Linked DNA regions of Oryctolagus cuniculus. The protein of the gene in region 1 interacts with the protein of each later gene in a biochemical or structural test. Links are inferred from orthologs where the notes say so. Each region holds a gene or a part of one and is shown on either strand. Other genes may lie near its edges. The genes, in order: PDK1, AKT1, PDHA1 and RPS6KB1.

Region 1 (7,287 bases):
GTACACACTTTCCCCTTAAAGCTTAGGTTAAATTTGATAAGAATTTTAAGATTTCCTACTCCTTTTTAAGTTCTATACCCCAAAATAGTTTTAAATTTTTTAAGCCCCACTGTACATTATAGTATAAATACTGATTATCATAAGACTTGAATCTGTCACCAATTATTATAGGATCTAGAGCAGTCGAGATACCATAAAACAAGCAGGCCAGCCTACCTTAATCTAAGAGTATAACTTAAATGCCTGTGCTTTAAAATCTGAATTTCAGACAGTTATGGTCAGGCAACAAATATTTGTTGAAAGCCTATAATCTACCAAATACTTCTTTTAAACAGAAATGAACAAAAACACACAGTGATGAAAAGTTAAGTTTTTAATGTACCTAACAAGTCAAGCTAACAAAGCACGCTTTTAGGAATAAGCAAAATGAGGAAGGCCACTTGACTTTCAAGGTCATGTAGCCAAGTACAATGGCACTGCAGGGTCAGAGCTAAAAATATTTCAGGAGGATTCAAGTACCTTTTCAACAGTGTAAGATCTGCTTGGCTTGCTGGAAAGCTCTTTATCTATGACCGCGCCCAGTTAGCAGGCGTCCAGGGGAAGTGAGCATTTCTAAATCTTAAATCCATAGGCTGGTTTGGCAAGCTGTTCCTGACCAGCCTGTGCCTCCCTGCATTCCAGGTCAAGTGATTCAGATAGCTGCTGTGCCACTCTCACCCTTAATTTTCTCTTCCTTGGCAGGAAAAACTATGCTCTTTACTCAACAGATATTTGAGTATCTTTAATGTGCAAGGCACAGACCAGACCATTCAAAAAGCAACAATTTCCATTTTTAATGAAAAATTTAAAAAAACAGAAAAGCAATTTCCTTGAAAATTTTTATTTATATTCCATCACAATGCCTAACCAATGCCTCTTAAACCGCCTTTTCAACTTCTCCATACTTGGCCTAGAGAGCATCTGATTATCATATACAGAATGGCCACATTGCTTTTGCTTATGCTTCTCCCACAAACATTTTGCGGACAGCAAAATGAGGAACTCCACAAATTATAACTGGGAAGTATCTTGCAGCTACATTTGTCAATATACAATGTACCTCTGGTCATCTCTCTTGTTTGAAACATGTAGTGCTTACAAGAATACTTTTAAAATTAGTACTATTAACAGCAAAGGCTGCACATCAATTGTCACATGAGTATATACCCTTAACACCTCCTAGTGTTATTTTAGGGAGAGAAATTAGTTAATGATTCCAGTAACTTCTGTCTTTAAATGGAAGAATAAACTTTAACTTTTGTGATGTCCAAAAAGATCTACTTTAATAAAGTAAATTCAGTTTATAAAAGATACACGTGTTAATGTATTTCATCATTCTGACCACGCATGGTTTAGTAGATACAAATCTGGGTTTGAATTCCACATCTACTATTACTTTCTGTGCATCAGTTTACTTATATGCAAAATGGAATTTAAAAATATCTAGGATGCAGGGTGGATAAAGAGATGAAAGGTAATGTGTATAAATACCCAGCCACTCACTGATGGTAGGCATTCCACTTACAATATCCCTGCAGATATTATAACACAAATCTTAGAGCTCTTGTCTGTGCTTCTGCATGGCTCCGGCTGCATTCAGAAAGCAAACCCAGATTCACCAAAAAGAAGAAAGGAAGAGAAATATCGCTATTGCCTTAAGACTCCCCTGAAGAGTAAGAAAGCATTTACTTTAACACTGAGTAAAACTCTCAACTCCACGGACATCGCAAACACAACATGGGAATCTTACCAGCTTTGCACCAACTGAACAGATGGCGTCCTGAGAAGATTATCTGGAAGGAGACTTATTTCTTTCATTATATTTGCCAATCTAACAGGCAGCTCCTGCCGCAGAAACATAAATGAGGTCTTTTCGCAAGCATTCACCGATCCTGCAACCAAAGGCCACAGGGAAAGCAGTAAATAAAAGCCATCGGCAGAAGTCAGGCAGCAGAGAGAAACACAAGAGTTCTCAATCACCCCAGTGCTGGGAAGGGCCCAGGAGGTGAAGATATCCCGTGCCTGCGGGAGAAGGATGGGATAACCTAGCCTTTAGGGACATCACACCCCAGAATGACCTTCCAGTCCCTGCCATTTCAATTAAATGGCTCTCTACAATTAAAGTACTTTGCTATCTCCCTTTGCTGCATCATTACTGTAATGCAACATCCAAGATCCTCTTACAACTAAGGTAACCACAGCCGTGTCTGAGTCAGGCTCAGCACCCAACAGTAGAACCTGACAAGCCTATCCTACCCTATCCACTCTACTGCTGCTACCATTTAGAAAATCTGTCCCCTAACTCTAGAAAGTGTGAAGACTTATCCAAGAAACTGGGAAACTTTTACCTGTAATGGGAAGATTGAGGCCAGGTAGAACCACTTATACTAATTACCAGCAGCAACAAGGAGGGCTTTCAGGCATTAAAAAATAAACACAAACACCTGCTCAGCAATCCTCTTCAAGTAGGTCCCATACAACTGACAGATTCCTGAAAGCCACCTGCCGCTTCCTACCCTTCCGTATCAGGACCCTAAGCAGAACAGTCAGATAATGACCTTTGGCAAGCAGCTCCATTTGGTCTAAAGGTAAACTAAACAAGAGGGTGTCTAACCAGGCCGTTAAGACAACAGCATCCCGTGTCAGAATGGCTGGGCTTCACACTGGCCCCAGCTCCTGACTCTGGCTTCTTGTTAATACAGATCTGTGAGGCAGGGGCGACAGCTCAAGTAATTGGGTTCCTGCTAGGGAGACCTGGATTGAGATCCTCACTCCCTGCTCTAGCATGCCCTAGTCTCTGCTGTTACGAGCATTGGAGGAATGAACCAGTGGACGGGAGCTTTTCTGCAGCATGCCTGCCTGCCAAATAAGCTTTGTAAAAATAAATAAATAAATAAATAAATAAATAAATAAATAAATAAAGTTAGGGGCTGGTGCTGTGGCACAGTAGGTTAAGCCACCCTCTGCACACCAGCATCCCCTATGGGCACCAGTTAAGAGTCCCAGCTGCTCCACTTCCAATCCAGTCTCCTGCTAATGTGCCTGGGAAAGCAACAGAGGATGGTCCAAGTCTAGGGGCAACCCTACACCCACTTGGGGAACCCGGAAGAAGATCCTGGCTCCCGCCTGGTCCAGTCCTGGTTGTTGGGGCCATCTGGGGAGTGAACCAGAGGATGGAAGATCTCTCTCTCGTCAAATAAATCTTTTTTTTTTTAAAGTAAGCTAAAAACTCGGATTATTTCAGTAACGGATTTTAAGCTAAATTAACGTTGCTACTTTAGCAGAGACAACCTTAGCAAAACTAAGACTGTCAATACTAGGAATCAGCATTAAAGGACATTAAAGGACATTCTAGCACTAAAGGACAACATAGTCTTGTGAAAGTTTAAATAGCATACTTTCGAACAAGGTCAAGTTCACCCTTTCATCATCCTAGGAAAAACAAAAACGGAAGGCTGCGAGCCAAAAAAAAAAAAAGTTTGCCACTGGAAACCAATTTTTAGATAAAGTCACCAGCGATGTCGGTATCTTTGGAGTCCACTAACAATGCTGGTGACCTGGTAGCACTCCTAGCGCGAAGATAACTTTCTCTACTCAAACTTTTACTGTTAACAGCTGATACCTGTCCTCCCCTGTCCTTGCTCACTCCGTGCTGGAAGTCGAAGCGAAACGCCCCATCCGCACTTCCTTCTGCAATCTGTCGCGCACCTCGAGAAAACCAGCGTGCACGCGGCCAACTCCACAACACCTGGTACCGATGCAATTTACACGCGCTCAAGACCCGTCTGCCAGCGGCGGATGAAACCCTGGTCGGTGGCAGCACCCTTCAGCCACCGGCCAGGAAAACATTCCAAGAAAACACGAGACCGCTTCTAACTTGCTTTCCCTTGCCAAGTCCTGTGCAATCATCGTGGGCAAGAGGCGCGTTTCTCAGCCCTCCGCGGAATCCGAAGGCGATTCCCGGAGGCGTCTACGCCGCGGCTCTCACCTGAGCCTGCAGCTCCGAAGGGAGCCGGCCCCGAGCGCGCAGCACACGTGCGCCGGAAGGCGGGGCGTCATTCCGCCCGCGGCCCGGCGGGTTTGTTTTCAACCACGGAGTGAAAAGCCCCACGCCCCATTTACCTGAGCCGTGAGAGGGGCCCCCGCGAGGGAGGAAGGAAGCACCCAAGGCGCCGAGCGGGGAGACGTTAGGGACGAGAGGGCGCTCCGGGGGCGACGGGGCGCCAGCGCGGGCCCCGGCGACCACAGCCCCCAGCCCGGGCCGCGCACAAAGGCCTGAGGCCCGCGCCGCACTCACCGAAGTCCAGGAACTGCTTCATGGAGAGCGGGGACGGCGAGAAGCGCGCGTAGAAGTCCACTTGGCCCGGAACGCCGCTCTCCGACGCCGGGCCGGAGCCGGAGTCCGAGGCGAGGCTGCGGCGGTCGCGGGGGCCGGCGGCGCGCAGCCCCGGGCCCGAGCCGGCCGCGGCGGCTCCGCGCAGCAGCCGCGCCAGCCTCATGCCGAGCCCCGCTGGAGGAGCCGGAGCCCCGGCGCCAGGTCGCCGCTTGGCGCCTCAGCCGGGCGGTACGTGAGGGACGTGGCGGGCCGCGGGGGCGGGGAGCGGCTGTCACCGCCGCGGCCGCCGCCCCCCTCGCCGGAGGCCGGCCCCCCGCGCCGCTGGGCGGGGCCCAGAGGGGAAAGGAGGCGGGGTCAGAGGCGGAGCCGGCGCGTGCGCGCGCGTCTCGGCCGAAGCCCCGCCCCCTCCCCTAGAGGCGGGACGCGCGCCGGGGCCGCCCACGAGCGAGGTGGACAAAAGGCCAGACCCGCCGCTAGGCGCGGGGAGCCCTGCGGATGGCCGTTGGCGCCCGACGCCCTGCCGCGAGGTCCGCGGGGCCATGGGCCCCATTCCCACGCCCTTTTGTAACAAGCCACACCTTCCTTCTTCCTCTCCTCTCACAACCTCAACCCAAAGTCTGGAGGGGGCCTACAGCGGGGGCCTTCTGCGAGCGCGTTCCGGAAGCGCTCCGTCTCCCAACATTGCACAGGTGAAGAAACTGAGGCTCGGATGGTGAGCGCCGCGCGTGGGGCCCCACGTGGTGTCCCAGGGACTGCCGGCCCGGGGGCCGAGTTGGCAGCCCAGCCTGAAGCGTTCTCTGCGGCCATTTCTGGTCGACAGCCTAGGGGCATTTGCAATGCCTGTCCACCTGCTGCTGCCCTCATCTCTGTCTTAGGGTCCCAGCTGGCCTGCTGCACTCTGTACGGGTTCTAAGTAGTGAACGTGATGAGGGAGCGCCAGAGTAAAGCCAACAATAATAACCACAATAACTCCTTCCCAACAATAAGCAGAACAGGATGGAAGCCCCTTCTAATACTTAGCAATGACGACAAGATCTAGGTTTACCTAAAAACAAGTTAGAAAAGACTCCATTAAGACTGCCTCTGGAGTAGCGGTAAAACCGCCCCCTGTAGTGCTGGCATCCCATGTAGACGCCAGTTCTAGTCCCAGCTGCTCCTCTTCCGATCCAGCTCTCTGCTATGGCCTGGGAAAGCAGTAGAAGATGGCCCAAGTCCTTGGGCCCCTGCACCTATGTGGGACAGACACCTGGATTAGAAGCTCCTGGCTCCTGGCTTCGGATCGGCACAGCGCCGGGTGTTGCAGCCAATTGAGGAGTGAACTGGTGGATGGAAGACATCTCTCTGCCTCTCCTTCCCTCTGTGTGTAACACTGACTTTCAAATAAATATATCTAAAGAAAAAAAAAAAAAGAGGCTGCCTGGGCCTTGGAGATAATGTGTTAAGGACAAATACCCTTAGACTGCAGATCTCAGCGGCTTGGTCTCTCACCCTCACTGTTCGCTTTTCTCTTTTTCTTAAGTAAAATTTCTACTCTCACTGTTGTGTCCGGTCTCATATATCCATGTCTACACCAGGACACAAACTCGGACTCATCCTCTCCAGGTTTCTTGCAACAACAGGACTAGCCTATGTGTGCCACTGGTTTCATCCATAGAGCCTCAAAAGTTGTAGTTAACACTAAAAGCTACTTCTTGTCTCTTCTCTGTAAGGCTGTCGCAAAACACACCAAACACTGGAGTTGGAGGAAGAGGAAGAGCCTATGAGAGAGAGAGTGTGTTTGGGGAACAGGTCCTGTTAAACCTTTGCCCAGGGAAGTAGGAGCAGCGAATCCCATTGGGTGGAGGTGGAGCTGACACTGACACTGACACCTGTGGTTGGGCCATCTGGCCATCTAGCCTTCTAGCAAAGGCAGAGGGGGCTAGAGCCTTAGATGGTGCCACAGATAAGACTGCACCGCTGCTTCTCTATATCCACCCCAGTGCTTGTGAGCTTTAGAGATAACAAAATTTCTTTACCGTGTGCTTTATATTTTTTGTTCCAAAACTTGAGACAGAGGCGTTTCACGTTTCAGATTTGTTTGAATAAAATATCTTGGGGATGGGACCCAAAACAAAACACCAAATTCTTTTATGTTTCAACTCTGTTACTGGTCACGGAGGGGAGGTTGCTGGAACAAGTCTTGTGGGTTCTTTTCCTCAGCTTAGTATAGAAAAAAGCTGGGAAACAATTTGCAAAGAGGCAGAAACTTTTATTCAATTAGCAAGCGACAGAGAAAACATCTGGTCCGAGAGGAGACCAGGCGGAGTGCCCGAGCCTGACACTGGCTTTGAGAAAGTGTCCCAGGTTTTTAAGGCATTAGTATCTGGTCACTGGTTATCCTATTGGAAGTGCCCATTATACAGGGGTTTACACATACGTATGTTGATTGGCTTGGGCTCATGGAGATAGGGGGGTGTGGTGGAATGAGAAGGCCATGCCAAGATGGCCACTGGCAAGCCAGCATCAGTTACTCAGGAATGGCTTCAGAACCCACCTGGCAACGGAGCCTGCCTGGCAGCAGGCTGTGATTGGTTAGGGCATAAGCCGCCCTTTGACCTGATTGGCTGCCTCTGCTATATAAGCTGCTGTACCAACTGAAATAAAAGAGTCCGCTGGCTGCTCACCTCAAGCCCTCTTTCACCCGACTCCTGGGGTCTTTGTGGTGACTCCATGCCTCTTGACCCCGCCACGCTCCTCCTCTCAGAACGGATCCACGACAACAGGGGGGAGCAGGGGTTTCCTAGAGACTGTCTCCTTAGGGTCTCTGCTAGCTCTGAGTGGTAGATTGCAACTAACTTGAAGGCATAGTTTGAAACCACAAGGTCACACAAGATAACCAGAGTCTCTTGGAGCTGTTTCAACTCTCCCCAGGT
Region 2 (6,712 bases), on another chromosome or scaffold:
TCTCCTTCACCAGGATCACCTTCCCAAAGGTGCCCTTGCCCAGCAGCTTCAGGTACTCAAACTCGTTCATGGTCTGCGGGGTGCGCAGGCGGGTCAGCGGGGTCAGCGGCGCCTGCCCACCGCCGCTGGCCCGGGGCACCGGGAAGAGCCGGAGCCTCACCACACGATGCTTGGGCTTGGCCAGGGACACCTCCATCTCCTCGGCCCCCGAGTTGTCACTGGGAGACCCTGACCGGAAGTCCATCGTGTCCTCCTCCTGCTTCTTGAGCCCGTCGGCCACCGTCTGGATGGCAGTCGTCCACTCCTCCCTGCAGGGGTCGGGGGGCCAGCGGTCACAGCTGCCGGGGGCACGCAGCGGGGCTGTGCCCCAGCTTCCCCGGGCCAGCAGTGTGCGTACCGCTCCTCGGGGGTCTCCACGTGGAAGGTGCGCTCGATGACCGTGGTCCACTGCAGGCAGCGGATGATGAAGGTGTTGGGCCGCGGCCGCTCCGTCTTCATCAGCTGGCATTCTGGGGGCAGGGCCGGGGGTGCCCATCAGCTCCTGCCCCCGCTGGCCCCAGGAGGCCCCACTCCCCTCCTCCAGGCTGTTTCCCGCCCCACTCCAGTTTGAACATTCTGCTCGGGGGGAGTGAGCCCCCGCCACGGTCCCTCCCTAAGCGTCTGAGCCCCAGACTACCCAGGGCCCTCCTCCAGCTCAGGCTACAGGGAGGCTGCCGGCCCAGGCCCCTGCGCACATCCCCTCCAAGCTGGCCAGGTGCCACTTCTTCCCCTGCCCACAAGGCTGGGGCTGGGGCGAGGCAGGTCACTGTCACCTTCCAAGGCCTTGGAGGGCAAGGGGTGCCCAGGCCCAAGGAGGGGCGAGAACGCCCTGCTGTTGCCACAGCCACAGCTGCAGCACGCCTGGAGCACACACGCCTACAGTACACACGCCTGGAACACACACACACACCTACAGTACACACGCCTGGAACACACACACACACCTATAGTACACACGCCTGGAACACACACACACACCTATAGTACACACGCCTGGAACATGCACGCCAGGGACACCTCCATCTCCTCGGCCCCCGAGTTGTCGCTGGGAGACCCTGACCGGAAGTCCAGTACACACGCCTGGAACACGCACACCTACAGTACACACGCCTAGAACATGCACACCTACAGTACACGCGCCTGGAACACGCACACCTACAGTACACGCCCCTGGAACACGCACACCTACAGTACACACGCCTAGAACATGCACATCTACAGTACACGCGCCTGGAACACGCACACCTACAGTACACGCCCCTGGAACACGCACGCCTGCCACACGTGTGCCTGTAGCACGCACGCCCACAGCCGGGGAGCGTGTGCATTCCAGCACCAGCACCCTGGCAACCACGAGGGCCAGGTCTGCCGGGCGAGGGGCTGCGTGGGGGCCCGGGGCCCAGCCTGGTGGGAGGCGGCCTGTGTCTGTGCGGGCAGGAAGCTCACTCGGTCCTCCCACAAGGCAGAGCCCCTGGACACAGGCCCTCCGCACACACACGCTGGCTCTCGCCCTGGCCAGGCAGCGCCCCCTGCCCCCGGCTGGCGCTGCCCCCATGGGCTCCTCTGCAGAGGCCCCTCCTGCCTCACCCCCACAGCGGGCATAGCAAGGCTTCCAGGGAACTGGCCTGCGCCTCCTTGGTGGCCTCCGGCCCAGGAAGCTGGGCCTGAGGCCGGGGAGGGTGGCATTTGGGGCTCACGGGAATCCCCACGGCCAGGCCCCTCCTCTAGCACAGAGTGGGCCCCGGGAGGGATGACCCAGCAGCCAGTGCCGCAGCCCATCCCCACGCAGATGCCCACAGGCAGGGCGACGCCCAGGTCGAGCCACCTGTGCCAGACCTCCCTGCAGCCCCCAAACCAGAACCTGGGTGGCCCTTGAAGGCCAGGGGCCAGAGGACCCCAGGGTGCTGGCCAAGGAGAGGGAGGGGCAGAACCCAGAGGCCCACGGCTGGCAGGCCCATCGCCCCCAGCTGCCCCAGGCCAGCCCCAGGGCAGAGCTGGGCTGCCAGGTGGTAGAAAGTGGCAGTGGACCTGCCCGGCCCCAGCCAGCATCGTGGGAGGGACAACTGGGGAGCCAGGCAGGGGAAAAAGTGGCACTGGCCAGCTTTGAGGGTGCCCCCCACAGCTGGGAGGGGTTGTATGCAGGGTCCTAGGGCCAGCAGCCCTCCCCACCCAGGACCCCCCTGGGAGAGCCTGGAGGCTCCCTATAGCCCGAGCTGTCCCCTCTGGGCAGGAGGCTCAGGGAACAGCTCCACAGGACAGCCATGCAGCTTGGCCCAGGCCCCCGCCAGCCAGGGCTGGCCCCCAGTCCCACAGGGCACGGACCACTCCAGGCACCGCCCCACGTCCAACCCGGAGTGGCCGAGGGGACACTTACGTGCCACAGAGAAGTTGTTGAGTGGGGACTCGCGCTGCTCCACGTCCTGTGGCCGCTCCTTGTAGCCGATGAAGGTGCCATCAGTCTTGAGGAGGAAGTAGCGTGGCCGCCAGGTCTTGATGTACTCCCCTGTGAGGACACAGGCGGTGAGGGCCCCTGTCCAGGTCGCTGGCCAGCTACGCCAGGCAGAGGGTGGGGGACGGGAAGGCAGGCTCGCTGCGCCGGAAAGGGGCCAGGCCCACCTGCACACCTGGGACACGGGGAGGAGGCCTGGGCCCACCTACCTGGCCTTCCTGGAGGGGGAGGCAGTAGGTCAGCTGGTGCCCAGCTCAGGCACTGGCCGGGCACCCAGGCTCCAGGGTGTGGCTGCTGGCCTGAGCCGGCCTCCAGCCAAGAGGACAGAGCCTGGCACTGGCAAGGAAGGGCCAGCAGCACAGTCCTGGGGCCGAGGGCAGAGCTGCCGCCCACCCTGGGACAGCCCCTGGTCCAGGCGCGGGGGCCGACTCCCCCAGTACCGCGGCGCTCGGGGACACGGCAGATGCTCCGTGGAGCCGCGCTGCGCCATTTTTCACACTGACACCCGAGAAAACGCCTCATTTACATTTTGCCGAGCACAGAGTCTGAACGACAGGGAAGTTGCTAATTAGGCAGCTGCTTCACTGTGGGCTGAGAGCTGGGGACGACACAGGGACAGGCCACCCCCAGAGGAGCTCAGAGGACACGGGTCGGCAGGCGTCCCCTGGGCAAGGCACTCAGGGCAGTGGCCCTCCCTCCCCAGGTGCCCGGCAGCTGCCACTCTGCACCCTGGTCCTGGACACACTTGCAGATGGGACCCGGAAGCCCCGGGCTGGGCTGGGACCTGCACCCCAGCCACCCCCCTCACAGCCCAGGGCTCTAAGAGGCCCCCCCAAGCACCCCTGGGTGCTTACTGTGCCTGGACTGGGGTGGGCCTGATTCCAGCCAGCCCACCAGCAGGACCAGAGCAGTGGAGTAAGGCCACACCCCGATGCCCAGGGGGGCAGGCCAGCTAACAGGCCCCACCCCACAATGCAGGGGGCGGTCGCTCAGGTGCGGCGGGGGCTGCTTTGGGGGAAGGACAAGGTTCTGCCCCCTCATGAGGGTGCCCCCCACAGCTGGGAGGGGTTGTATGCAGGGTCCTGGGGCCAGCCGCCCTCCCCACCCAGGACCCCCCTGGGAGAGCCTGGAGGCAGCCCCCACCCCGCCCCGCCAGGCTGGGGCCACCGGGGCCTCTGGCAGGAGCAAAGGGCGACCCTCAGGGAAGAGGCTCCAGCCCACCACAGGCACCCCCTCTGGGCAGGTGGGGGCAGGCAGGGGCTCCAGGGGGCGAGCGGAGCGGGCTCTGGGGGCTGCACAGCCCCCCCGTCCCGGGCCGCCCGGCGCCGTGCCCACCCGCCTGCACGCCAGTCTGGAGCTGTCGGCCCCTGATGGAGTGCCTGCCATCCCACCAGCTGCCGCTCCCCAGGACGCTGAGCGAGCGGGGAGACTGATGAGCACCCGCGCGCGCCCCAGAAATCCATCTCGGTCCTGCGCCACACGGCACACACAGGGCCCCCACCCCCAGTGTCGGTGAGGGGGCTGCCCTCAGCACACAGACCCCTCCACGGGGGCCAGGAGCAGGCCGAGGGACACCTCTGCCTCTGCGTCCGGCCAGGCAGGCCCATGGGGACCCACAGTGCTCGCCGTGCCTGGGCTACAGCCCTCGTCTTAAGTTCAGCCAAAGCAACGTGGGACCTGAGACCCCCGGCCCCGCCAGGGTGGGGGCAGAGGCCACTGCACACCTGCAGACTGGCACCTGCCCACCCCGAGGTCCAGAGGGGCCTGGGCCTCTGGCAGGGAGCGACTGGCGCCCAGCGCAGGGTCTCCTCAGCGCCCCCCCCCCCCTTCAGACCTGTGGCGGTGCCAGGCTCCACCCAGGGCCTCTCCAGCAGGCTCAGCTGCCCTCTAGGCAGGTCCAGCCAGGCGCTGCCATCAGGAGGTGCAGATGCCCGGGTGGGACCCGCTCCCGCCCCACTGCTGGCCGGCCCACCTGCAGGACAGCCTGGAACCCAGCCCTGGGCTGGGAGCACAGTGGTGGCCCCTGAGGTGCTGCACGGAGCCCCAGGTCCTGTCCAGGCTCCAGGCCACCATGCCCGGGACAGGGAGAAGGGGATGGCTGCCCTTAGCAGGGTGACAGGGTTAGCTAGCTTCCTGCGACCCGGCCTGGGTCAGCTCTGGCCTCGGGGACACCACACAATGCTTGGGGACAGGATGGGCCTGCGCAAGGCCCAGCCTGTGCGAGCTCACAGCCAGTACCGACGTGGCCGGGGGCAGTCTCGGGGTCCACGCTGCCCGGCTCTGACGGGCTGGAGCCGCGTCCCCACCTCCACGCACATCCTCTGGACGCTCCCGGTCCCCAGCAAACTGCTGGGCTGGCACTTTGCGCGGCGGCGGGTGCAGGCTGGCAGGGTGCCAGGCAGCACCGGGCTGTCTCTCCACAGCGAAGTGAGCCCCAGCAGGCCTGCGGTCCCCCGCCGCCAGCACATCCATCCTGCCGACAGCTGCCGCGCCTTCACCTTCTCCGGCACATTGAGCAGAGGGCCTGCTGGTGGCCACCACTGCCTGCGGGGGTCCCTGTGCCCCTCACCGCAGCAGGCACCGGGCCAGTCTGACCAAGGCCACCAGCCCTCGGGGAGCTGCCCAGCTGCCCAGCGCTGCGTTCCCGGCCCAGGTCCTCAGGGGAGGGTGAGCAGTGCCACTCCGGCCCGGCAGGGGCTGGCACCGCCAGGCCCACCTCTCTGCCAGCCTCGGGCCTGTCCCACCCTCCCAGGAAGCCCCCCTACCAGGCAGGCAAGGCGGGTGGAGTTGACCAGAGGACACTCGGACGCAGGAGAGGACACAGCCGGGCACCACCTTGTGGAGGTGCCGGGGGCTGTGGGCTCCTCTACCCTCGCCTGGACGCCCACCCCACCTCAGCCTCATCCGTCACTGAACCTCTGGTGGCCCGGCGTGTCCCATCACCCTCCGGGTGAGGCCCCTGGGCTGCCCGCTCCGTGGCTCCCATCTCCTCCCTGGGGCAGGCTTCCTGCTCACCTGCCCACGACCCTCCGTGTCTGACGTGCGCTGGCCTCGCTGCAGCCTGAAGCCAGCACGGCCCAGCCCAGGCCACTCGTTGGCTTGTGACAAGAGGGACGGCCCAGCCGAGCCTTCCCACAAGGGGGACCCGACCTGGTCAGGCCGGCCAGGGGAGTGAGCCCAGGTCTGCCGGACGACCAGCTGACCCCGTCTGTCCGTTCCTGGGGAGGGGCTGCTGCCCTGGCCGTGCTGGGGGCTTCCGGAACATCCCCAGGGGATACCTCCTGGCCTGGATCCGGGCCAAGAGTACAGACAGCCCCAAGCAAGCAGAGAGATGGGGTCCGAGCAGCGGCACGGAGTGGCCTCCCTCAGACACGGGTCCTCACCGGCCAGCAGCTGCCCCGAGGGCCGCCTCCCCAGGGGCACCGAGGCGGGATCTCTGCCTCCCAAGGTGGGGCCACACCTGGGGCAGGTGGTGGCCCTGCCCAGCCCAAGGCCTCACCCCTACCCCCCACTGGGGCCCACCATGCACCCACAGCCCCCTGCCGGGCCCAGGAGGCCCTGTGCTGAGCACCTGACCTTGGGGGTACCCGGGGCTCGGGCAGGGGGCTGAGAATCCAGTCCCGAGTCCCACACCTGGGTTCTGAGGACCCACACCCAAGGCCGGGTAACAGGGAGCCCCCGTGCTGGGTGCTGGGTGGGCGCACAGCTCCCAGGAGCTTCCCGGGGCCCAGGGAGGGTCCAGCCCAGCTAGAGCCTCTCTCGGCCACGTGGAGTGAGTGGAGGACAGCCCTGGGAGCTGTCCCGGGAGGCCTGGCCAGCCGCGCCTGTTCCCTCTGCGCACCCTCCCACGGCACTTCCAGGAACTGGCCTCGTGCAACCGGCCAGGCCCCTGGGTGGGGGGTGGAAGCTGGGCGTGGCATGGGACTGCCCCACTCACACCCCGCCCCTCTCCCCCTGGGGCAGCAGAGACCGCCCTGGCCCCCAGCAGCTTGGGGGTCCCAGGGCTATGTCCCCACTGCCTTCTCCTCCCTGGGCTCCTGCCCCCTCAGACGGTCCATACGGAACCAGTGAGCAGGACACAGGCCGGAGCACTGCCCTTCAGTGGCCAGCAGCCCCGGGAGTCCAGGGCAGGGGCCAGCTGTAAGCCCCGCCCCCACCCCGCCCCTGCTTCCTCTTTTGTTGTTTGTTTTTGGAGGGAGAACTGAACGCACTCACAGAACAGGA
Region 3 (7,417 bases), on another chromosome or scaffold:
TTTTAAAAATTTATTTATTTGAAAAGCAGTTACATAGAGGCAGAGAAAGAGAGCGAGAGATCGTACATCAGTTGGTTCACTCCTCAAATGGCCACAATGGCCAGAGCTGAGTCCATCTGAAGCCAGGAGCAGCTTCTGGGTCTCCCTCACGGGTGCAGGGGCCCAAGGACTCGGGCCATCTTCCACTGCTTTCCCAGGCCACAGCAGAGAGCTGGATTGGAAGTGGAGCAGCTGGGACTTGAAGCAGCGCCCATATGGGATGCCGGCACTGCAGGCGGTGGTTTTACCCACTACGCCACAGTGCCGGCCCCCAAATAAAAACTTGAGTTCCTAAATACATTAGAAGCATTCAAGTGAAAAACAAGGGGAAAAACATTTCAAAAATTCCAGATTCCACCAATGGCAAATAGAAATCTTACCTATTATTTAAAAAGCCAAAAGAATACTAGGAGTAAAGATCTCCAAGGGTGCCAGTCTTGTTGTGTAGTGGGCTAAGCCGCCACTATGATGCTGGCATCCCATATGGGCACCAGTTCATGTGCCGGCTGCTTCACTTTTGATCCAGCTCCCTGCTAATGACCTGGGGAAAGCAGTGGAAGATGGCCTAAGTGCCTGGGCCCCACAACCCAAGTGGGAGACCTGGAAGAAGGTCCTGGCTCCTGGCTTCAGCCTGGTCCAGCCCCAGCCGTTGAAGCCATCTGGGGAGTGAACCAGCAGATAGAAGATTCTCTCTCCTCAACTCTTTCAAATTAATAAATAAATCTTAAAAAAAAAAAAAAAAAGTATCTCACGTCATTGAGGCCAGTGCTGTGGCAGTGTCAGGCTGACACTTGTTTCAGAATGCCAGTTTGAGTCCTGGCTGATCCAGCACCCTGCTAATAAACCTGGGAAGGCAACGGAAGATGGCCCAAGTGCTCAGGAAACCTGCTACCCACATGGGAGACCTGGATGGAGTTCCCAGCTCTGGTTTCAGCTCAGCCCAGCCCTGGCTGTTGTGGCCATTTGAGGAGAGACTCAATGACTAGCAGTTCTTTCTCTTTCTCTCTCTCTCTCTCTGCCTTTCAAATAAACCTCTTTAAAAAAAAGAAGTCGCAACAAATAAAAACACTAAGACAAAGATTATGATTTTAAATGCAATTCAGTCTTCTATAAGAATTTTTAAAACTATCAATTTAATTCAAAAATAAATCACAAGCTTGTAATTCATTCAAAGTTTCCTGCCAAACATGTCATGATACAATGATAATCGACAAGCCTGAGATAAATCACCATACATCCCTGGTTTTAAGAGGAGAAAAGAAAAAAAAAATGAAAAGGGGAAAAAACAGAGTTCTGGAAGGCAAGATAGGGCACAATGTGGATAAAGTGTCACAACCATCAATCAAACGAACCACTTGACCTTTCTCCATCCCCTCCCTCTCTGAGTATCACACAGATGGTGCAACTCTAGTACCCAATTTGCCTAATTTAGGTTAGTCGCAGTTGATTATTATCAGGATTTTTGAAAGGCTTATTTGCAAAAAATATTTTTACATATATATGAAAGTAAAAACCTTGATTATTTTGTTTTTTATATTTAAATAAAAAGACATCCATAAGTATGAAAAAAATCACAAAATATAGTTATTCTCAGGGGTTGGCCATTTAGCATAGCAGTTAGGATGCTGGTTGGGACACCTGAATCCCACTGTACCCGGGTTCAAGACCCAGCTCCACTCCCAAGTCCAGCTTCCTGCTACATGTACTCTGGGAAGCAGCAGTCATGGCTCAAATAGTTGGGTTCCTGCCAACCACATGGGAGACCTACACTAAGATTCTGGCTCCCGCTCCCGCTGGCTCAGCTCCAGCCATTGCAGATATTGAATGAGCAAACAGAAGATCTCTCTCAGTCCATCTCTGCCTTTCAAATAAAATGTGTAAACCCTGACACATTGGTTTATTACTCCATCCTTTAAAAAGATAAAGGTGAAACATCTGGTCCTTACCATCTTCAGAAGTTTCAGAAATGCCTCCTAGTTGACTAGCACGTGACACGTATAGTCACACAGAAAACTATCTGTAGAGTTTGCACCAAGTGGGAAGCTGCCTGGGTACTTTAGGGTGACCTGACTGCTGGAACTCAATTTTTTTTCCTACTGGAAGGTAGGGGAAAAGAATAAACCTGAGTGCCTAATAATAACGATTTAAGGGTGTTTCTGAGCCCCTAAGTACTGGTACATCTACAAACCGGTATCACCAAAAGGGATGACTTAGAGAAAAGGCAGAAACTCTGCTAGCAAGGTTTGACAGTGGAAACTTTTTATCTATTAGTTTCCAATCGCAATTCAAATTCTTGACACCTCCCAAGTTTAACTTTGAAGTTCCTGGGAAACTGTTTCTTTCCACTAAGTGCGAAGCTTCAATAACAAAGTTTCTACTGCTTTTGCACTTCTAGTCTATCCAATCTCACAGCAGAAAGGAAAGGCCACTTAACTTCTGCAGATAACTAAAGCACTGCACAATGCTGCAAACACGTTTCTACTGCTGTTTTTCCACTAAAAACCAATGCTAGGGGATTCAACGAGATAAAGCTGGGAGGTATCTACTAGTGCCTAGCACATACTGCGAGCTCAAGAAATGGTGGCTGGAGCCTGCGTGTGGGCAGAAAAAAGGAATGCCCCTTGTGCTTCGCCATCAGGTCAATCCCAGTACAATTCCAAGGTCAATACAGTTCTGATCAATCAAATTCTCCTGTAAATCTTAGTAAATGGGATTCCTAGAGGGGTTCAGCCGCTACCTTTTGACAACCTCTGCCCAGACTAGGCACAGCTGCATCGAGTCCTGGGAGAATTACTAGAACCGGAATTACAAGTCAAAGCTTGGCTCTGCAGTTATACCAAGTAACCCCATCTCACTGTGCCCAGAGGTCAAAATGCTAGCAGCTCAGGTGAAAGGCGCATCTGAAAACTGGGGCTGCAAATAGCTTAAGTGCGATTTCCTTTAGCCACCTTTACCCTAAGGGGATGTGTGTACGTCCCCCCCCCCCCGCACTTAAGGGGGGAGAGCAGTTTCCTGTGGGTTCCGCTGGACCGCTTTCCACTGCCAAGAAAAGTTAAGCCGGAGAGGAAGTGGGTTCCTGGGGAGCGTGACCACGTCTAAACCCTCAGACACCCACAAACGTACACCAAACTGGGCGGTCAACACAGAGTACCCACTATGTGCCAGGTGCTAGTCGGAAACGTTTACGCACGCGTCACTCGTAGAATCCTCAGACAACCCCACGAGGTAGGTACCCTCATATACATTTTAGAGATAAGGACACTGGGCGGGGTGGAAGGTGGGGGGGGGGCGTTCAAAACTTGCCCAAGCTCACAGGACTGCTGTTTGAATTCCAGCCAGTTCGTTTCCGGATTCCACGCTCTTTACTAACACCCACTAAAGGACCTCTCAGCCAAGACAAACATTAAGTTAGGGAGAACTGAAATGAGTGGGGTCAAGTGAAGACTCTTACAAGCTTAAGGCACCCCCTCCATACCCTGCAACCAACGGGCACTTTTCGAGCACACCTAATCGCTCCGCGCGGAGCTGGGCTCGGGGAGAGCCGGAGAGTCGTGACCGATCTCCACGCGGACCCGGCAGGGGTTGCCCCCCCTCCCCAGTCGGCCGCCCAGCGCCGTTCCCCCCCGAGACTAGACGCAGAATGCACGGCGTGGAGGCAAAAGCAAAAGCCCGCAGCTCCCCCGGCTCCCCGCCGCATCTTTTACTCAGCGCCCAATCCAAGCAGCGCGTCTAACTGCGAGCCCCGAGGCCCGGCCCGCCCTTCGGCCTCCTCCGGCACCGCCTCGGTCCCGTTCGCGCTCCATCCCGATCCGTCCAGGCCGCTGGCTCGGGCCGCCTCACCGGCTTCTGGGCAGCGCCAGACAACACGCGGGAGACAGCGGCCAGCATCTTCCTCATGGAGCGCAAAGAAGCTGCAACAACGGCGACTCCCAAACTGCCCAAGGGGAACTGCTAAGCCGACCCCAAGTCTCCTTCAGGCGCCCCAGCAGAAGCCACGCCTTAAACGCAACGCGACGTGGCGTCGGAATGACGTCATGCGCCGCGCCGGGCCGCGGGCCAACCAGGACGGCTCCCAGGCTGTGTTCCGCCCACTTGAAAGGCCTGCGACCACCCATTGTGTGTCGGCGCCATGGGGGGCGGAGTTGCGGCTTCCTCGCGTCACCATGCGGCGGGAGAGGGAGGGGTCGACTATCTGAAGGCGCCTGCGTGGGAGAGTGGGTCCCCGCCTCCAGCCTTCTGGTTGGATTCTGCGCAGACGACGGTGGTAGCCTTCAGGCTGGTCCTGACGTGTGGCTGGTCCTGCTGGTGCTGTAACTGCAGCCTTGGCTCTGCACACGAGATGATGAAGATTAGCAGCCTAGCCGGGGCCGAAAGATAGACGGTACAGTCTTTGTAAGTGATTCTGCCACTAACTTGGCTTTAAAAGATCACGTAATACAATCTGGTCTCCCACGTGGTTGGCAGGGATCCAACTACTAGAGCGGAGCCGTCACCTGCTGCCTAGCAGGGTGCGCTCTGCTTTTCAAAGAAAAACAAATAGGTAAAGGATCACATAACAGTTGTAAAATGCTGCTGATTCCCCAACTAAATACTGAGGAGTCAGTGGGAAAAACCTTTTGGCTCTACTTACTGATTCAGAAGCTCAAAGAGAGTTAACAGCAGGACACAGCCAAAGATAAAAGGACACAGAGAAACAGACTCCAAAGCAACTGGGCTCTGTAGAGAGGAGTCAGGGCTCAGAAACCCATCCTGCTGGGCCCTGCTGGAATTGCACCTAAGGTTCTGGGTTCTGAATTGGCTCCATTTAAAGAAGGATAATGACAAAAATGAGTGGCATCCAGAGGATGGCGGTCACAATGATGAGGGGCTTAGACTGTGACTTGCGAGGAATGACTCAAGGAGTTAGGAAGAAACTGGACTGATTTAGAGTGAGCTAGGTTATGTTGCTGTAACACTCAACCCCAAATTTTAGTCTCTTTAAGAACATCAAGTGACTGGCCAGCGCTGCGCCTCACTAGGCTAATCCTCCGCCTTGCGGTGCCGGCACACCCGGTTCTAGTCCCGGTCGGAGCGCCGGATTCTGTCCCGGTTGCCCCTCTTCCAGGCCAGCTCTCTGCTGTGGCCAGGGAGTGCAGTGGAGGATGGCCCAAGTGCTTGGGCCCTGCACCTCATGGGAGACCAGGAGAAGCACCTGGCTCCTGCCTTCGGATCAGCGCAGTGCACCGGCCGCGGCGGCCATTGGAGGGTGAACCAACAGTAAAAGGAAGACCTTTCTCTCTGTCTCTCTCTCTCACTGTCCACTCTGCATGTCAAAAAAAAAAAAAAAAAAAAAAAAACATGAAGTGACTTAGCTTGTTCATACCACAACTTCCACAGCTTGGCTGGGACTGCACTCCATGTCATTTCTCTGGAACCTTGAGTGATGGAGCAACCTCTGTCTGGAACTTAGCTTGTCTCACGGTGAAGGGAAAAGCTGTCACTTCGAATGGCTCTCAGAGCTTCTGCCTGAGATCAGCGTAGTGGTGGAGTGGGCTAAGCCAATGCCTGCGATGCCAGCATCCCATATAACCACCAGCTGAAGTCCCAACTGCTCTGCTTCCAATCCAACTCCCTGGTAATGCACCTAGGAAAGCAGCAGAGGAGCAGAGGATGGCCCGAGTACCAGGATGATGTGTTGGGCTCCTGCCTTCAGCCTGGCCCAGCCCTGGCTGTTGCAGCCATTTACTAACCAGCAGATAGAAGGCCTCCCCTCCTCCTCTGTCACTCACACCTTTCAAATCTTTCTTAAAAAAAAAAAAAAAGAATGATCTAACCCGTAAGACATATTTGTTTGTTTGTTTGTTTGTTTTTAAAAAAAAAGCTTCTGCCAGAAGTAACACATATCACTTCCTCTAATGTGCAGGAGGGAGACCAGAAAATTGGGTGGACAGCAACAGTGTAGAGGACTTGGTACGTCTTCACACTTGTACTTCCATGACCAGGTTGCCACGCGATGAGCGCTCCCTAAAGGCTGAGAGGGACGGGATGGCAGTGAAGCAGGCTGCCCAGCGTGGCCTCCGCAGATGCTGCTGCTGCCAGAATGTGGAAGCTGGAGAAAGGAGAATGAGAAGAGTGCGAGGCCAGATGGCCAGTTTAGAGAAGCCGGCCTGACCGTTTGTGGACCTGCTGGCCTGCAGGCAGTGGTGGGACAGCTCCCCGAAGTTGTCCCCCAGCAAGTGGCAGTTGTAAGTCTAGGACACAAGCTAGAAATATAAATTTGGGAGTCATCTGCATAGAGCTGACATTGGTTGTGTGCGTCCAGGAGCCCTGTCGGCTCTATGCATACACATGCATTCATTCTTGCATTCCTTCAACACCTATTTGTTAGACACCAATTCTGAGTCAGGCATTGGAGTAGGCACAGGGAGGGGGGAAAGAGCAAGGAATAGAGTCCCCAGTCCCACAGAGCTTACAGTCTAGTAGGGGGTTAATAAGTGCACATAAGTATATATTACAGGGGCATATAATGCAGGCAATAAATGGTATGACAAAAATTAAACAAGATAAGGGAATAACAGGAGTGACGTTAGAAGGGCCCCTGTTACCATGTCTTGTCCGTGTCCTGGTTGGGGAACGGCTTCACCTGTCTTGGACTGGTTACTCAGTACAGAAATAAAAAGTCTGAAAGAGAGAGCAAAAGTGGAAGCGAGTGTATCAGTGATAAGCAACAAAAGCACCCCACTTGGATGAGGGCCCCCAGAGCTGGGGGATGGTCTCTTTTATGTTATTTCCTTCTCCCTCTCTCCTTATCTGACATAGGGGCCCTTCACCTAGTGCATGCAATAGGAGTCCTGTTTGGATGGGCTCCCCTGCCTTTGTCCAAGAGCACAGCAGGGGGTCTCTAATCCGATTCCCTGGAGGGATGGAATTTCCCACAATTTGCCCAAGGTCTGCTCTTTTTCTTCTAACCCTGCCTCAGCTGCCCTCTTTCCATACATCTGCCCGCTCTGAGAGGACCACCCAGCTGCCACTGCTTATAAGGGTCGATGGCTGCTCTAGCCGCTTCGTGCTGTCCAGGGGTGAAAGAGGGAAGTTGGCTGGTCCCCTTGGGTCTGCTGACCAAGTGGGCCTCGGTAGAAGTCCTCAGGACATCTGTGTTTCCAGCTGAACGACCAGCTGCCTCTTAAGAGCACCTGTCCTGTTGGAGACAAGTTGTACCAGTCAATTAAACAAGCAGGGGCAAGAAGCATACAGGAGGAGTGGAGAAGTTACGACAGGAATGAAGGGGCCCTCTCTCAACTGACATCCTTGGAGCAGAAATTCTGTACAATCGTGTGTATTTTTATTTGTTTTCTCGGGCAGGCAAGTGGCTGGGTTTAGCCCCTGACAAGTCTTTTGA
Region 4 (6,712 bases), on another chromosome or scaffold:
GACCTGAAGCCGGAGAATATCATGCTTAATCACCAAGGTGGAGATATACTGTAAACATTTTTATAGTAAATAATAATCTTAAAATCCTCGCACACAGGCTGTGGCCATTTTCAAAGCCCCATATTCATCTCTATTATTATACATTTCCTCCCTCAGTATTAATGGCATCATAATACTTGCTGGTGTTTAAGTATTATAGTTGCTGAGATTAAAGGAGTTGAGGATAATAGCCACTCAACTGCCTTTTTCAGTTTAATCCTTATTCTTTATAGCTTTTCTTTGCCTTTTTTTTAAGTCTTTGCACAAAATATTATGGACCAAAAGCCAATTGAAACATTATTTTGATTTGTTTCTTTTTTTTTTTTTTTTTTTTTTTTTTTGACAGGCAGAGTGGACAGTGAGAGAGAGAGACAGAGAGAGAAAGGTCTTCCTTTGCCGTTGGTTCACCCTCCAATGGCCGCCGCGGCCGGCGCACCGCGCTGATCCGATGGCAGGAGCCAGGATCCAGGTGCTTTTCCTGGTCTCCCATGGGGTGCAGGGCCCAAGCACCTGGGCCATCCTCCACTGCACTCCCTGGCCATAGCAGAGAGCTGGCCTGGAAGAGGGGCAACCGGGACAGAATCCGGCACCCCAACCGGGACTAGAACCCGGTGTGCCGGCGCCGCAAGGTGGAGGATTAGCCTATTGAGCCACGGCGCCAGCCTTGATTTGTTTCTTAAATTGAAAAGTGAATCTTAATGGAGTTTTATTGACAATGCACAAATATTTTATGACAAATTTTACTAATGTTGAAAAAAGGGAAAGGATTGGAATTGAGCCAGATATCTGATATAGCCTTGAAAATAAAATATTTAGTGGACATCAATTTATTCTTGCTGTCTGGTTCATTGTTTCTCCTTTCTATCACCACCTTCCCTGAAAAGCTAGATTCTGATTCTGAATTCTAAAGCAAAGAATTAGGAGACGGATAGAATAGAAAACAACTTCTTTGATCCATAAGTTTGAGTAATTTAGGTGTTTATTTGACAATGAAAGACATATGTATCAGAGTATAGTATGTATTTACATTTCAATTAATAAGTTATTGCCTTTTCTTTTCTCTGCAATGAATCTGAGTCCCTAGGGTTGTTGAACCACTGGTTAATAACAGTTCAGTAAAGCTGAACTTGAATTGAAATGATCTTTGTGGAAGGTGATGAAAGTTTCAGTTTCTGGATCTGAGATGATTAACCCATGCCAATTTCAGTTCCTTCTCTTAACTGGTAGCACTTGCCAGAAGAGGCTAACTTGTTACAGTGACTTTCTAAGATCATTTTAAGAACTTTTAAGTCACAGTTTACTGTGATAAAGGCTATTTAAAGTGTAGTGTCACACTTTTGTTGAAACAGTGCAGCATATGTTTATTAGGGTCTGTGACTTGAGCCAGACTTAATAAAGATTTTTCCCTAGGACTTTGCTTTCTCAGAGTGGTAGACGATTCTCCGTAAAGCTATGGATAGGTGAAGCTAGGGGCTTAGACAAATGGATTAACTTTCTTCTGTTTTGTCTTTATCATCATTTATCATTTATATTGTTGGCAAAAGGTGATTCTACCCTAGCCTTCAAGTGTTAGCATTCCATTTTATGGATGGCACCTTGTTAGTTCTTGATATCTGCAAGAAGAGTTTAAGGCAGGAAACACTGAATAGAAGGATAGATTATTGTTTTATGTGATATGCTCAAATACTGCACATACTTAGAACTCTTGGAATAATCATGCTATAATCTTTTCATTGTAGGTCATGTGAAACTAACAGACTTTGGACTATGCAAAGAATCCATTCATGATGGAACAGTCACACACACATTTTGCGGAACAATAGAATACATGTGAGCTGAGTGTTAAATGTAACTGGTTTGGGATTGATAGCTAACCTTTACCTAGTTTAATAATAGTGTCTAAGTTTTCTGTAGCATCAGTGACTCCATCTATTTTTTTAATTTTCAGATATATAAATGGTTGAATTTTATGCATGCTATTTTTCTCATTGTAGGGCCCCTGAAATCTTGATGAGAAGTGGCCACAATCGTGCCGTGGATTGGTGGAGTTTGGGAGCATTAATGTATGACATGCTGACTGGAGCAGTAGGTGCACAGTTAAAAGCTGCATGTATTATGGTCTTGTGCTGAGTAGTTTTCAAATCATTATCACAGGAGGCCATTCCTGTACTTTTTGAAAATGTGGAATTATTTTCAAGCCTAAAAATTTATCAGCAGTTTAATTCTAATAATGCCTTATGATTATATAGGATCCATCCTTTTATTTATTTTTTAAAGATTTATTTGAAAGGCAGAGAGGCAGAGAGAAAGAGAGGTCTCTTATCCGCTGGTTCACTCCCCAGATGCCTGCAATGGCTGGAGCTGTGCCTGTCTGAAACCAGGAGCCTGGAGCTTCCTCTGGGTCTCTCATGTGGATGCAGGGGCCCAAGGACTTAGACCATCTTCTGCTTTCCCAGGCCATAGCAGAGAGCTGGATTGGAAGTGGAGCAGCCAGGACACGAACCATCGCCCATATAGGATGCTGGCATTGCAGACAGCAGCTTTATCCTCTATGCCACAGCACCGACCTCTTGGGGGTCCATCCTTTAAAAAACATTTTTATTTTATTTTATTTATTTTTTTATTTATTTTTATTTTTATTTTATTTTATATGTTGGGACTGGTGTTTTGACTTGTAAGTTAAACTACTGCCTGTGACACTGGCATTCTATATGGACGCCAGTTTGAGTCCCATCTGCTCTATTTCCATTCCAGCTCCCTGCTAATGTGCCTGAGAAAGCAGTGGAAGATGGCCTAACTGCTTGGGCATCTGCACCCATGTGGAAACCTGGAAGAAGCTCCTGCCTCCAGCCTGGCCCAGCCCTGGCCTTTGTAGCCATTCTGGGAGTGAGCCAGTGAATGGAGGATCTGTCTGTCTCTCCCTCTCTCTTTTTATACCTCTGCCTTTCAAATAAATAAATGATCTATGTAATGGCAGTCCTGTGAAAGAGATGTAGGTTAGATAATGTCCTCACTTTATAAATAGAGAGATCAAAACATAAAATCACATGCTTTGCCAAGTATCACACAAGTGACTGGTGAAAACTCAGGCTTCATTCCAGGTCATTGCTGAACTCCTCTGTGATGCTTCTTGAAAACTACAGGTCTTCAGTAGTCAGCCCATTTCACTGCATACATTTCTGACCACCTTGCATAATTGACTAATTCAGAAAATGGATGATATTCTTTAAAATGTTTTTATATGCTAATTTAATCTCTTTTCTACCCTTAGCCCCCATTCACTGGGGAGAATAGAAAGAAAACAATTGACAAAATCCTCAAATGTAAACTCAATTTGCCTCCCTACCTCACACAAGAAGCCAGAGATCTGCTTAAAAAGGTAGTTTTTTAATGGGTACTCGAAATATAAGTCTCAATAACTAATTTTAACTGGGTAGAATCTAACATTTTGAATAAAGAATCATACAAGGTATTGAACAAATAAAGCATGCAGTTTATGAAGGCATAGTACCAATTTGTTTAAAGATTTTTTCTTTTTATTTTCAGACTATTTAGTAGTAACTGATAAATTACATTTTCTAAAGGTAATATAAATGAACAAATTATACAAAGGGAAAAAATAAATATGATTGAAGTTCTTTATCAATACTTTATTTGTTTCCCCCTTAAGCTGCTGAAAAGAAACGCTGCTTCACGTCTTGGAGCTGGTCCTGGGGATGCTGGAGAAGTTCAAGTAGGGATTGACATATTTGGTGTTCTGGGAAAAGACTGCTTATTTTGCTTATTTTGTGTTTGTCAGGGTTGTATGTAGTTGCTTATAAGTTTAGCTGATTTTGTGATTTGTCACTTCAAACAGTTAATTTGTCATCCCAGTAAAATCTGTTCTCCTTGTCTTTCTCTATTCTTTTTTCTAGGCTCACCCATTCTTCAGACACATTAATTGGGAAGAACTTCTAGCTCGAAAGGTGGAGCCGCCCTTTAAACCTCTGTTGGTATGTATCCATGAAAACAGATAAAATTGAGGGACTTTGTGCTTTTCTAGAAAAAGAAAAACCTTAGAGCAGTTTTAAACATATTTTTAAATTCAAAGAACTTTGGTCTTCTCTTTAGAATCTTTATTTGGTATTTTGTTTACAAGAATTAATGCCAGTGGTGACTGATGACTATATTAGCTATTATTTCAAGAAGTTGAGAATTTTTTTCCCCTAATTTAACCGACTGTAAACTTGATTCTCTGGGAATTTTTTGTTCAAAATGTAGGATATATGTGTAATTTGCTAGGCCTGCTATATCAAAGTACCACATACTGAGTGGCTTAAGTAATAGAAATATATTTTCTCAGATCTGTAAGCTAGAAGTCTAAGATTAAGTTGGCGGGATTGGTTACTTTTTTTCCTTAAAGGTTTATTTTATTTATTTGAAAAGCAGAGAGAGGGGAGGGAGGGAGGGAACAAGGGAGGGAGAGAGAGAGAGAGAGAGAAACAGATTTTCCATCCATAGGTTCATTCCCCAAAAGGTTGCAATGATTGGCGCTGGGCCAGGCTGGAGCCAGGAGCTTTATTCAGGTCTCTCAAGTGGGTGCAGGGGCCCAAACACTTGGGCCATCCTTTGCTGCTTTCCCAGTTGCACTAGCAAGGAGCTGGATCAGATGTAGAGTAGCCAGGACTTGAACTGGTGCCCATATGGGGTGCCAGTGCTGCAGGCAGCAGCTTTACCTGCTTTGCCACAGCACTGGCCCCAGATTGGTTGTTTCTGAGGACTGTGACAGAGACTAAGTTCCATGCCGTTCCCCTAGTTTCTGATGATTTGCTGGCAATTTTTACCTATCTTTGGGTTATAGATATATCACCTGGATATCTGTTTTTATGTTTATTTGTGCTCAAACTTACTCCTCCCTTTTTAAAAATAAATTTATTAATTATTTTTTAAGGAAGACAAATTTCATAAGTACACTTTAGGAATATAGTTATTCTTCCCACCATACCTCCTCCCTCTCCCCTTCCCAGTCCCATTCTCCATTAAGATTCATTTTCAGTTAACTTAGTACACAGAAGACCAACTCTATGCCAAGTAAAGATTTCAACAATTTGCACACACACATACACAAAGAAACTGAGAACTAAATTTACAGTTAACTCTCATAATACAACTCATTGAGGAGTTGTATGCATGGGGAGTTAGTGCACAGTGACTCCTATTGTTAACAATTAACACTTTTGTATATGAAGTCAGTGGTCAGTGACCATATGAGGCTCTTGACATGAGTTGCCTAGGCTATGGAAGCCTTTTGAATCCACAAACTCCGTCAGTAGTTAGATAAGCCCATAAGCAAGGTGGAAGTTTTTTCCTCCCTTTAAAAAAAAAGTACATCCTCAGCTGGCACCATGGCTCAATTGGCTAATCCTCCACCTGCAGCGCCAGCACCCCGGGTTCTAGTCCCGGTTGCCCCTCTTCCAGTCCAGCTCTCTGCTGTGGCCCAGGAAGGCAGTGGAGGATGGTCCAAGTGCTTGGGCCCTGCACCCGCATGGGAGACCAGGAGGAAGCACCTGGCTCCTGGCTTCGGATTGGTGCAGCACACCTGCCGTAGCGGCTTTTTGGGGGGTGAATCAATGGAAGGAAGACCTTTCTCTCTGTCTCTCTCTCACTGTCCAACTCTGCCTGTCAAAAAAAAAAAAAAAAAAAAAAAATCCTCCTTTGATGGCCACTTCTTTCTGCTGGGATCTCACTCAGAGATCCTTCATGTAGAACATTTATTGCCACAGTGTCTTGGCTTTCCATGCCTGAAATGTTCTCATAGGCTTTTCAGCCAGACCAGGAAGCCTTAAGGGTTGATTCTGAAGTCAGAATGTTATTTAAGTGATTATCATTCTATGAGTCTGCTATGTGGACTGCTTCCCATGTTGGAACTCCCTCACCCCCTTTTTATAAAATTCTTTATTTAAAAGGCAGCTAGACCGGCGCCGTGGCTCACTAGGCTAATCCTCCGCCTAGCGGCGCCGGCACACCGGGTTCTAGTCCCGGTTGGGGCGCCGGATTCTGTCCCGGTTGCCCCTCTTCCAGGCCAGCTCTCTGCTGTGGCCACGGAGTGCAGTGGAGGATGGCCCAGGTGCTTGGGCCCTGCACCCCATGGGAGACCAGGAAAAGCACCTGGCTCCTGGCTCCTGCCATCGGATCAGCGCGGTGCGCCGGCCGCAGCGCTCTGGCCGCGGCGGCCATTGGAGGGTGAACCAACGGCAAAGGAAGACCTTTCTCTCTGTCTCTCTCTCACTGTCCACTCTGCCTGTCAAAAAAAAAAAAAAAAGGCAGCTAGAGAGTGTGTCCCCATTTCTGGTTCATTTTCCAAATGGTGGCAACAGCCAGGGCTGGGCTAGGCTGAAGACAGGAGTCAGGAACTCATCCCCGGTTTTCCATGTGGATGGCGGGAACTCTACTGCTTGAATCTGCTGCCTCTCAGGGTGTACATTAGCAGGCAGTTGGGATTGGGAGCAGAGCCAGACTCAAACCCTGGCACTCCAACAGGCAATACGACCATCCTAAACCCTGGCTTAACTGCTTTGCCAAAACACCTTTTCCATGTAAGATTACATTCTGATGAACTGAAGATTAGAACTTGAACATATGAATTTGGAGGTAAGGAAAGCCACACAATTCAACCTTTAACAATGTGAATATG

Evidence for each region.
Region 2: of the proteins of PDK1 (region 1) and AKT1, one has a biochemical effect on the other in vitro, tested with the Homo sapiens proteins (3 studies listed by BioGRID and IntAct, with this or other methods). The link is inferred for Oryctolagus cuniculus from reciprocal best matches to the Homo sapiens genes PDK1 and AKT1.
Region 3: the proteins of PDK1 (region 1) and PDHA1 form a complex in vitro, tested with the Homo sapiens proteins (2 studies listed by BioGRID, with this or other methods). The link is inferred for Oryctolagus cuniculus from reciprocal best matches to the Homo sapiens genes PDK1 and PDHA1.
Region 4: the proteins of PDK1 (region 1) and RPS6KB1 form a complex in vitro, tested with the Homo sapiens proteins (2 studies listed by BioGRID and IntAct, with this or other methods). The link is inferred for Oryctolagus cuniculus from reciprocal best matches to the Homo sapiens genes PDK1 and RPS6KB1.

Annotation. Positions count from the first base shown.
Region 1 is NC_091434.1:68,567,821-68,575,107, forward strand, and holds the start of PDK1 (pyruvate dehydrogenase (acetyl-transferring) kinase isozyme 1, mitochondrial), read right to left. Parts: upstream 4,664-7,287; 5' UTR 4,539-4,663; coding exon 4,337-4,538; intron 4,060-4,336; exon of another isoform or gene 3,662-4,059; intron 1,932-3,661; coding exon 1,790-1,931; intron 1-1,789. UniProt on the Homo sapiens protein: Kinase that plays a key role in regulation of glucose and fatty acid metabolism and homeostasis via phosphorylation of the pyruvate dehydrogenase subunits PDHA1 and PDHA2.
Region 2 is NC_091451.1:46,975,222-46,981,933, forward strand, and holds part of AKT1 (RAC-alpha serine/threonine-protein kinase), read right to left. Parts: intron 2,543-6,712; coding exon 2,414-2,542; intron 510-2,413; coding exon 398-509; intron 309-397; coding exon 161-308; intron 74-160; coding exon 1-73. UniProt on the Homo sapiens protein: AKT1 is one of 3 closely related serine/threonine-protein kinases (AKT1, AKT2 and AKT3) called the AKT kinase, and which regulate many processes including metabolism, proliferation, cell survival, growth and angiogenesis.
Region 3 is NC_091453.1:5,374,592-5,382,008, reverse strand, and holds the start of PDHA1 (pyruvate dehydrogenase E1 component subunit alpha, somatic form, mitochondrial), read right to left. Parts: upstream 4,073-7,417; 5' UTR 3,937-4,072; coding exon 3,880-3,936; intron 1-3,879. UniProt on the Homo sapiens protein: The pyruvate dehydrogenase complex catalyzes the overall conversion of pyruvate to acetyl-CoA and CO(2), and thereby links the glycolytic pathway to the tricarboxylic cycle.
Region 4 is NC_091448.1:35,209,984-35,216,695, forward strand, and holds part of RPS6KB1 (ribosomal protein S6 kinase beta-1), read left to right. Parts: coding exon 1-37; intron 38-1,778; coding exon 1,779-1,869; intron 1,870-2,033; coding exon 2,034-2,124; intron 2,125-3,310; coding exon 3,311-3,418; intron 3,419-3,709; coding exon 3,710-3,772; intron 3,773-3,953; coding exon 3,954-4,031; intron 4,032-6,712. UniProt on the Homo sapiens protein: Serine/threonine-protein kinase that acts downstream of mTOR signaling in response to growth factors and nutrients to promote cell proliferation, cell growth and cell cycle progression.